Linked DNA regions of Nothobranchius furzeri. The protein of the gene in region 1 interacts with the protein of each later gene in a biochemical or structural test. Links are inferred from orthologs where the notes say so. Each region holds a gene or a part of one and is shown on either strand. Other genes may lie near its edges.

Evidence for each region. The genes of interacting proteins can lie anywhere in the genome.
Region 2: of the proteins of dapk3 (region 1) and pawr, one has a biochemical effect on the other in vitro, tested with the Homo sapiens proteins (2 studies listed by BioGRID). The link is inferred for Nothobranchius furzeri from reciprocal best matches to the Homo sapiens genes DAPK3 and PAWR.

Annotation. Positions count from the first base shown.
Region 1 is NC_091751.1:45,573,940-45,578,173, reverse strand, and holds the start of dapk3 (death-associated protein kinase 3), read right to left. Parts: upstream 2,879-4,234; 5' UTR 2,762-2,878; intron 1,983-2,761; 5' UTR 1,939-1,982; coding exon 1,877-1,938; intron 1,268-1,876; coding exon 907-1,267; intron 715-906; coding exon 585-714; intron 449-584; coding exon 400-448; intron 292-399; coding exon 265-291; intron 184-264; coding exon 31-183; intron 1-30. UniProt on the Homo sapiens protein: Serine/threonine kinase which is involved in the regulation of apoptosis, autophagy, transcription, translation and actin cytoskeleton reorganization. Involved in the regulation of smooth muscle contraction.
Region 2 is NC_091741.1:40,729,496-40,733,601, reverse strand, and holds the start of pawr (PRKC apoptosis WT1 regulator protein), read left to right. Parts: upstream 1-1,302; 5' UTR 1,303-1,442; intron 1,443-1,665; 5' UTR 1,666-1,796; coding exon 1,797-2,321; intron 2,322-4,106. UniProt on the Homo sapiens protein: Pro-apoptotic protein capable of selectively inducing apoptosis in cancer cells, sensitizing the cells to diverse apoptotic stimuli and causing regression of tumors in animal models.

The sequences.
Region 1 (4,234 bases):
GCAAATTTGAGACAGGAGTGTATATTTTACTTTGGATCCTTGACCAGCAGACGGCGTATAAAGTCCTTGGCCAGCTCGCTGGTGTTGCTGAAATACTCCTCATCAAAGTCGTAGTTAACAGCAGAAATATTGGTTAAAGTCTCCTGCTTGGTCTCACCCAGAAATGGCGATGCGCCGCTCAACCTAAGGTGGGACAGAGTTGGATGTAGACCTCGCAAGACCACAGTGACTCAACAGACAGACGTGATGTGATGCGTTACTCACAGAATGTACGTGATCACTCCGATGCTCCTGCAGACAAGAGGAGACAGGTAAAATAAGGAGGGGAAGCATCAGACGGTTTAGTAAAAAAACTTCTGATGAGAAGGGGGGGAAAAAAGGTACAGAATGGCATCTTACCACATGTCTGCCTCCAGGCCAAGTGGCTCGTAGTTGACTATTTCTGGCGCTGTAAAGAACAGAGGAATGAGCGCTTTAATTCAAACCAGATGTGATCTGAGGGGGAAAATCTTCCACTCTACATGGTTTAGCTGAGAGGCCTGCTTGGAAGAACGTCAGCTGAATTTTAGGTTGTGGGTTCTTACCGACAAACTCTGGTGTTCCAAAGATGTTTTTGAACTCGTTTCCAGCTTTGATCTGGTGAGCGATCCCAAAATCGATCAGCTTGATCCTGGGGTTGGGCACATTCTTGTCCAGAAGCATGATGTTCTCAGGCTGAAATATTAAAGCAGAATAAAAGAAAATGATGTGAAAACATTTTTAATTGTTGTTCCAATATCATTAATCAATATTTGTCGCTCTGAGAAACATCATTAAAGTCGTGCTCGTTAGTAGTTCTGATAAAAACGTCTAAACTCTGATTCTGCCAAATATTTTACATCCCCAGCTTCCCTTTAGGCTGCTGACCTTCAGGTCGAAGTGGGCGATGCGTTTGACGTGAAGGTACTGAACTCCGTCCAGGATCTGCTTCAGAAACTGCGTGGCCTCCTCCTCGGTCAGAGACTCCTTCTCAGCCAGGAAGTCAAACAGCTCCCCGCCGGACACCAGCTCCAGGATCAGGATGACGTCCGTCTTGTTTTCGAAGATATCGTGCAGGGTGATGATGTTGCTGTGCTCGATCTCCCGCAGGATGTTGACCTCGCGCTCAATCTCCTCACGGCTCACACCCCGCCGGCTGGACGACAGGCGGCGCTTCTTGATGAATTTGGCTGCATACTCGATACCCGTGCTCTTCTCTTTGCACTTACGGACGATGGCAAACTGCCCACTGCAGAGGGAAAGGATGAGAGAGACGCTGCATCAACAAATTGTGTTAGAATATTTTAGGGTGAGATTTAAACTGCCCAATAAATGAGGAGGTAATCTACCAGAAAATAGATAAGTTTAGATTAATGCAATTTAACAACAGAAAAAAGAAGCACACAGCATTTTACAGTGCAGTCCATTCTCCATCACTTAATATGTGCAGCTTGTCTTGGCAAACTCACAGCGTTCTCATCTTTGGAGACAAAGCCGAGGTGGAAGGACACACTTGGTGGACTTGATGTCACACTTTTGCTGCATTACTGCAGAAGAAAACCAGCTAATACAGAGAGGTGGGTTTAATCTTTAAAAAATGTTGACTCATCTCCAGAACTGTCCAGCACAGCATAAAGGGATGTAGGATTATTTTTATTGTTGCTGGTGCAATGCAAAAATTATTTAGCCCAGTTTGGATGCTGAGCTTTGGGTCAGATGAGGTTGAAACTGAGCATCTTGTGCCTGATCTGCCTTCAGTTCTCAGAATTACACAATTGTTTTTTTCCAAGCACACATTTGAGGAAAAAAAAAAAAGAAGGAATTTAAAGCATCATGATGTTTTTGATGCTGTTCTTACCTGCCCAGCTCCTCCCCCATCTCATAATACAGCTCTACATCCTCCTGCCTGAAGCCAGCCATGGTGCTGACTCGAACAATGATGGGAGAGATGCCTTAAAAACTTCCTACAGCAAAGGAGAAAAGTTAGACGCACGTAAATAATAACATACTGACGATTAAAAATGTGGCACAAACACAATCAATATGACGATTACAGCTGTAAGCTTTCATTACAAAGCATCGGAGTATTGTTCAGTCCAAAAATGGTAAATCACCCCTTATGACCTTGACTTCTTCCCTCCTTATTTGGTTCTAATCAACACAGCTTCAGTGTTTTTTTTTTCTCAGAGACTTTAGGCTGATGTCAGACCTCTGCATACCAGTCCTACTGACATCACCTCCTGTCCCGGTCCAGCTAACTCTGGCTCGATTAAAGGGGCTGGAATTTGTCCACACAGACATGTTTTAAAGTTTGTTTAGAACAACTGCAGATAAGTTGTATAGTGTAAGGGCTTTTGCAAAAGCATAAGCTACAACATCCGGCTGTTGTGTCAGAGAAGCCAGCAACACAGACCTTCCTCACCGACAACTATTAATAAAAACAGCCCGACTAAAGAGCTTTATTACACGCAGCTAGGAGAATAAAGTCGACAAACATCTATTCAATAGTAACATATTTAGAATGATATGAGAAGAACTAAATTAAACCGTGGCCACAGACGACAGCTAGCTGTACTGGTTAACAAGTTAGCGTAAAAAACACCGGCCGGGATGTCTTTGTTTTCACCACACCTCCGTATCCTGATACTTTAGCATAAATACGTTTATTGTTAGATACTAAAAGTACATTTTTATAATACACAGTTAACCCTAAGAATCTGAAGTCAACAAAATAGTTACTCACGGTATGGATGGCTACCAGCGCTGCATTCCTTATCCTGGGAACTGGGCGAGCGGATCTTTGGTCTGAGCAGTTTCAGTTTAGCCACAGCCAAACAACACGCTTCCGGTTTGTTGTGTCAAAATAAGTATTTAAAACCTGAAATAAATGTGGTATTTTAAAAATAAATTTTGTAAGAATTTTGTTTTATTCAGTTTATTCTGGTCTGTATGTTTTGTTTGGAAAATTGGAAAGTATATAATAGATTTGGTGTATTTAAATGCTTTTAAACTTTATTGTGAAATCTAGCATAACTTATTTTCCGGTGCTGACGTTTAACTTGACAAAGGTAAACATCCAACAGGACAGAAGGAAGGCCATATGGAATGACATCAGGCTGAGAGAATTGACTGAATTACGTCTGAAAAACAAGATTGAGCACGCAACTGCAATGATTAAGGCTCCTAATGAGGAACAGTGGAAAGAAAAAAAACCTTGGTTCACATGGCAGAAAGTTTCATGTAGAAAATGTTGGTTTATTTTTATATAATGGCTGGGAAATGAACAATCATCCATACACGAACGTTTACAAAATATTGGTTACGAGCATACGAGCCAAGCTAATTAGAGCCAAGGAGTCTGTCAGGAGCGCGCACTGGAAGGTCACTGGACAGGTAGCGCGGATCCAGTGGACTGCGCCTTGATTCCAACTAGTTAAACGTAGAATTAGGTTTTTCCAAAATATTGTGTCTTTACATAATCATTCAGTCTGTGACAACAGAAGGTGCTACTTTTTTTGTTTGCATTTATTATTACGACATTGCTGGATAAATGTCACCCTCTTGTGGGGATTTAGTGAGCTTAGACAAGACGTCTTTTTAAAAATGCCTATTTTTCTAATTATGGGGTTTAATTTTTTCACCTATTAGGTAAGTCTTAGCTTTGGCTCTAAATGTTTAGGAGGGGTTGATTTTAAAATCTGTTGAAAATCCATCCAAAAATGGATGAATGAATGTATGATTTTCAAATCAATTGTAGCTTTCAGTGAGAGCTATCTGAAGAAGGCAAAAGGAAAAGAAAACGGTTTCTCTTCCTTGACTTTTTGACGCTGCTTGTGTGACGTCTGTCGCCGCCTGGTGGTAAATAGTTGAAATTACAATTAAAAAATAAACCTTTTCTATGGTTACGCTTCCTGATGGAACAAAAATCATAACATCGTAAACTAATCATGTAAAACGCAACAAAAATTCCATTCAATAAATTACTATAAATTAAGAGAACTTTCAAAAAGAAAACTGTCGCAACTGTGAACATGCCAACGTGCTAAGGTCTTCTTTCTTTGGCTGCTGTTTCCGCTGAATTTATCGCAACCTGGTGGCGATTTAGTGACATTACAACAAATCAAAAATAAACCTTTCTAATGGTACATCGCTACCTAGTATTTACAGTCTATGATCGCTACGCTACCTGAACGCAATGACATATTTTATTCAATAA
Region 2 (4,106 bases), on another chromosome or scaffold:
CCAGGACTGTGTCTATGGATTAGAACAGATGGAGCATTGTTTGCTATCATTAAAGTCTATAAAACAATGTATTTGATCAACTTATTATTTTATTTTTAAAGAAAGTTTTTGTTTTTAGTCTGTTTCTGTTTGTGAGACCTTTGGCCTTTTAACCCAGGATTTTATTCCAGCTTTTTAATAAGCAGAGTTATAAGAAGCTACAAGACTTTTTAAAACAAAATGTATATATATTTTTTTCAATTTTGATTTTGTGAATTTTTTTTACTTTTAAACATAAAACATTGTTGGTACATTTTTTTTATTTAAAATGTAACCCTTAAGGACCCAAACCCTTTTGAGATAAAAAAAAACTGATTGGAGTAAATACATAAAAATGTAGAAAAACATAAATTAAAATAAAGAAGTAAAATGATTTTTGATATACTGTATGTGTAGGATGTCACTTGGAGTTGTCAAACTTGAAAATATGACGCAAGAAGCAAGTTTGAAATTGGATGTGACACAGTGTCACCACGAGTTCATCTTAAGCCTTTTGGTTTTTTGGAAATAGTTTAAGATTTAGGCAATGAGCAAGATTTAACATGCAAAACTGGTTAAATATGGCCTCTGCTTCCAAGATGGTTAAACCTCCCTTTTTATTATATATATTTATGAGGGTTTAATATTATCATTATCATCATCATTATTATTATTATTATTATTATTATTATTATTATTATTATTATTGTCATAATTGTTATTATTATTGTTGTCATTATTATTTTTTTATGATCATCATCATTATTATTATTATGATTGTTTTCATTATTATTATTATTATTATATTATTGTTGTTGTTGTCATTATTATTATTGTTATTATTATTATTATTATTGTTGTCATTATAATTATTATTTTATGATCATCATCATTATTATTATTATTATTATTATTATTGTTTTCATTATTATTATTATTATTATTATTATTATTATTATTATTGTTGTCATTATTATTATTGTTGTTGTTGTCATTATAATAATAATAATAATACTTATTATTATTATTATTGTGATAATAATAATAATAATAATAATAATAATAATAATTATTATTATTATTATTATTATATTTAGAGCCACTTGAGTCTCCAGAGCAGCAGACTCATTTTCTCTACCTGTGCGTCGCAACGGTACAAAAACAACAATTTGTTCCCCTATTTAAACACTGACTTCTGACTTTGGGTGTTTATTTGATCAGTCAGATCGCGCGCGCGCTCCCCGCGCGCCGCTGAGGCGCTCCACATAGCGCGGGTGCATCTTTCAGTACAACACCGGAAGTGCCGCAGCTCCCAGGCTCGTGTCCTGTCCCACAGCGGCTCCCAGTGCTTTTCATCAGAGCCGAAAGCGGTCACACCTGGTCGGACCCAGAAGAGCAGTTGGAAGCCGCTCCGCTCCGTCCAGGTGAGTCTCTCCGCCGAGTTTATCCCGCTTTCATCAACTTTTGCGGGTGTTATTTAGTGAGAAGACAGAGTTAACTAAAAAGTGCGCGGCAGCAGCGAAGAAACTTAGTGGTGCGTTTCCAGCTGAGCGCGACACAAACAGGGCCATAAAAAACGAGCTTACAGCTTTTATTAAGTGTCGTTTCGGTCTGACTTGACCTTGTTTTCCTCCGACCTGTCAACAGCTCCAGAGGTAATCGCGTGAGGAATGTGGTGTCACCAGGGAGCTGCCGAGTAAACTCACGTCTGTGCGCCTCTCCACCTCAAGTTAACTCCAGAATCAAACAAACAAATAATTACACATCAAGGGATCCTCATGGCCACGGGCGGATTTAAGTCGAACCCAACCACAAACATCCTGGAGGAGTGGAAGGCGAAACGCGAGAAAGTCAGGGCGAAAATGCTGGGTGACATCGCTGCAGCCACCGGAGTTCCCTTGAGCCCCAGCGCCAACAACCGCCTGGGAGCTCCTCCCGGCGCGGACCTCACCGGCAGCCCGGACTGGAGCGCCTCTGCTGCGAACTGCCACACCCCCTCCTGCCCCGGCGTAGCTCCGAGCAGACCCGAGGAGGACGCGCACCACCCCGCGGCACCCTCAGCCCCGGCGAGCAACCTGAAGAAGGCCCCGCCTCAGCCAGACAAGGCTCCGGGCGCGTCCCCGGACTCCAGTCTGATGGCTTGCAACGCCAGCGACAAGGAGAGTCCGTCACCCAGCAAGGGCAAGGAGAAGAAGAGCTCTGGTCCCAGTGCACGGAAGGGGAAAGGGAAAGGGCAGATCGAGAAGAGGAAGCTAAGGGAAAAGAGGAGATCAACAGGTGTGGTGAACATACCTTCCAACGAGGTGAGTCAGTCCAGCTGGGCTTCAGTGTTCATCCTCAGGAGATCTTGCTCCTGCTGCAAGCTGCATCACTGGAGGCAACATTTGGATGAAAGTGAACAAGATAAAGTAATTCTTAAATAACTGCATTAAATGGTGGATGCTTGTCTCAAAGGTTGGCAATCATCCAGCAAAAGTTCATTTCAGAAAGAGACAAGAAAGCTTTAATAAAAGTTAAGTCTGCCCTGGCCTTCAGGAGGGCTTGGAGAGGACCTTCAGGGGTCAGGTCAAAGGTTATCCAAGGGGAAATGTGTCAAATTATCAGTATTTCCTAAAATATTAGAGTCACCTGAGGAAATTGTCTGAAAATCAGATTTAATGTCTTACTTTCTTAACTGTTTTTTATATTCTAGGTTTGATTTTATTAAGTGTTGCTGATGTTATGAACATACCTGAAGGGAACAGTGTGTATTTCCCCCATGAAACTACAAAAAACAAGGTTGAGAGCAGCCTCGTTTCCCCTAAGAGACTGCAGATTCCTCTCATGCATGTGTCTGGTTTAATTGCCCCTCTGCAGAGAGAAAAATGAAAAGCAGCCCTGGGAAGGGGGTGGAGTTGGCGGCTTCTGGAAGTGTTTGGAGGCGGTTGTGCCTCTCATTGTTTTTGAATTTAAATCATGTCGCACTCCTAATTCCTGCAGTTCCGACGCTTCGCAGCAACTCGGATCTGAAGCGGTGCCAGTGAGAGCCACCACAGTGATAATGTACTCACGCACTCTAAAAGCTCTTAAATTATACAGAAATGTTGAAAATGAGTTTTTTTCCCCCTTATTATTGAAGGTATTTCTGTAGAAGTGGTCCATAACGTTCCCATTGGCCCAATTAAACAGCCACCCAAGACTCTGTGCCTTTGGGCATCAGGACTTGGAGGTGGACCAGTTCTGCAGTTGGCTCTACATCCTGTTATGAAGGACTGTTGGAGAACTGGTCTCAGGCCAGAGGTGGGACGCTGGGCATGTTTGGTTTTTCCCAGATAAGTCCGATGACTTCCATAGGCAGCAGTCTGTGTGGTAAAGTTTGTGGACGGACTATAATTTAGGAAATCTGAGGTGAACTTTTGCACATCCTGAATGGAACACGTTGATCTGAGTAAGTAGCACACTGTGTGTATCTACATAACCCCTCACTAAACCAGCGGGAGCACATTTGTGCAACAAGCTTTGAAACACTTGTTCAGCTTTATTAGGAGACACGTGCACATTTTCCTCCTCGGCTCAGATACAGATCATAACTTTGCACATTTGCAGGTACTTTAGGTGCTCCTAAAGACTTAGACTACTGTAACTCTCTTTTCACGTGTCTGAGCAGAACCTCCCTGAACCGTCTACAGGTGGTTCAGAATGCCTGTGTTCGGCTTCTGACCAAGTCCTCCAAACACACCCACATCACCCCGCTTCTCCTCCAGCTTCACTGGCTGCCAGTCAACTTCAGGGTTCATTTCAAGATCCTGGTTCTGGTCTATAGAGCCTTACATGGACAAGCACCATCTTACATTGGTGATCTTCTTAGTCCCTACACCCCCAGCAGGTCCCTGAGGTCCAGTGATCAAAGCCTACTGGTTGTGCAGCACCAGGCTAAAGACCAAAGGTGACAGATCATCCGCTGCTGTGGCCCCCAGACTCTGGAACTCTCTCCCCCTGAGCCTGAGATCAGTGGACTCAGTGGTCTCCTTTAAAAAGCAGCTGAAGACTCACTTGTTCAGGCTTTGGTGTGACCTTCATCACCACCCTCTCCTTATTCTGTTCTTATT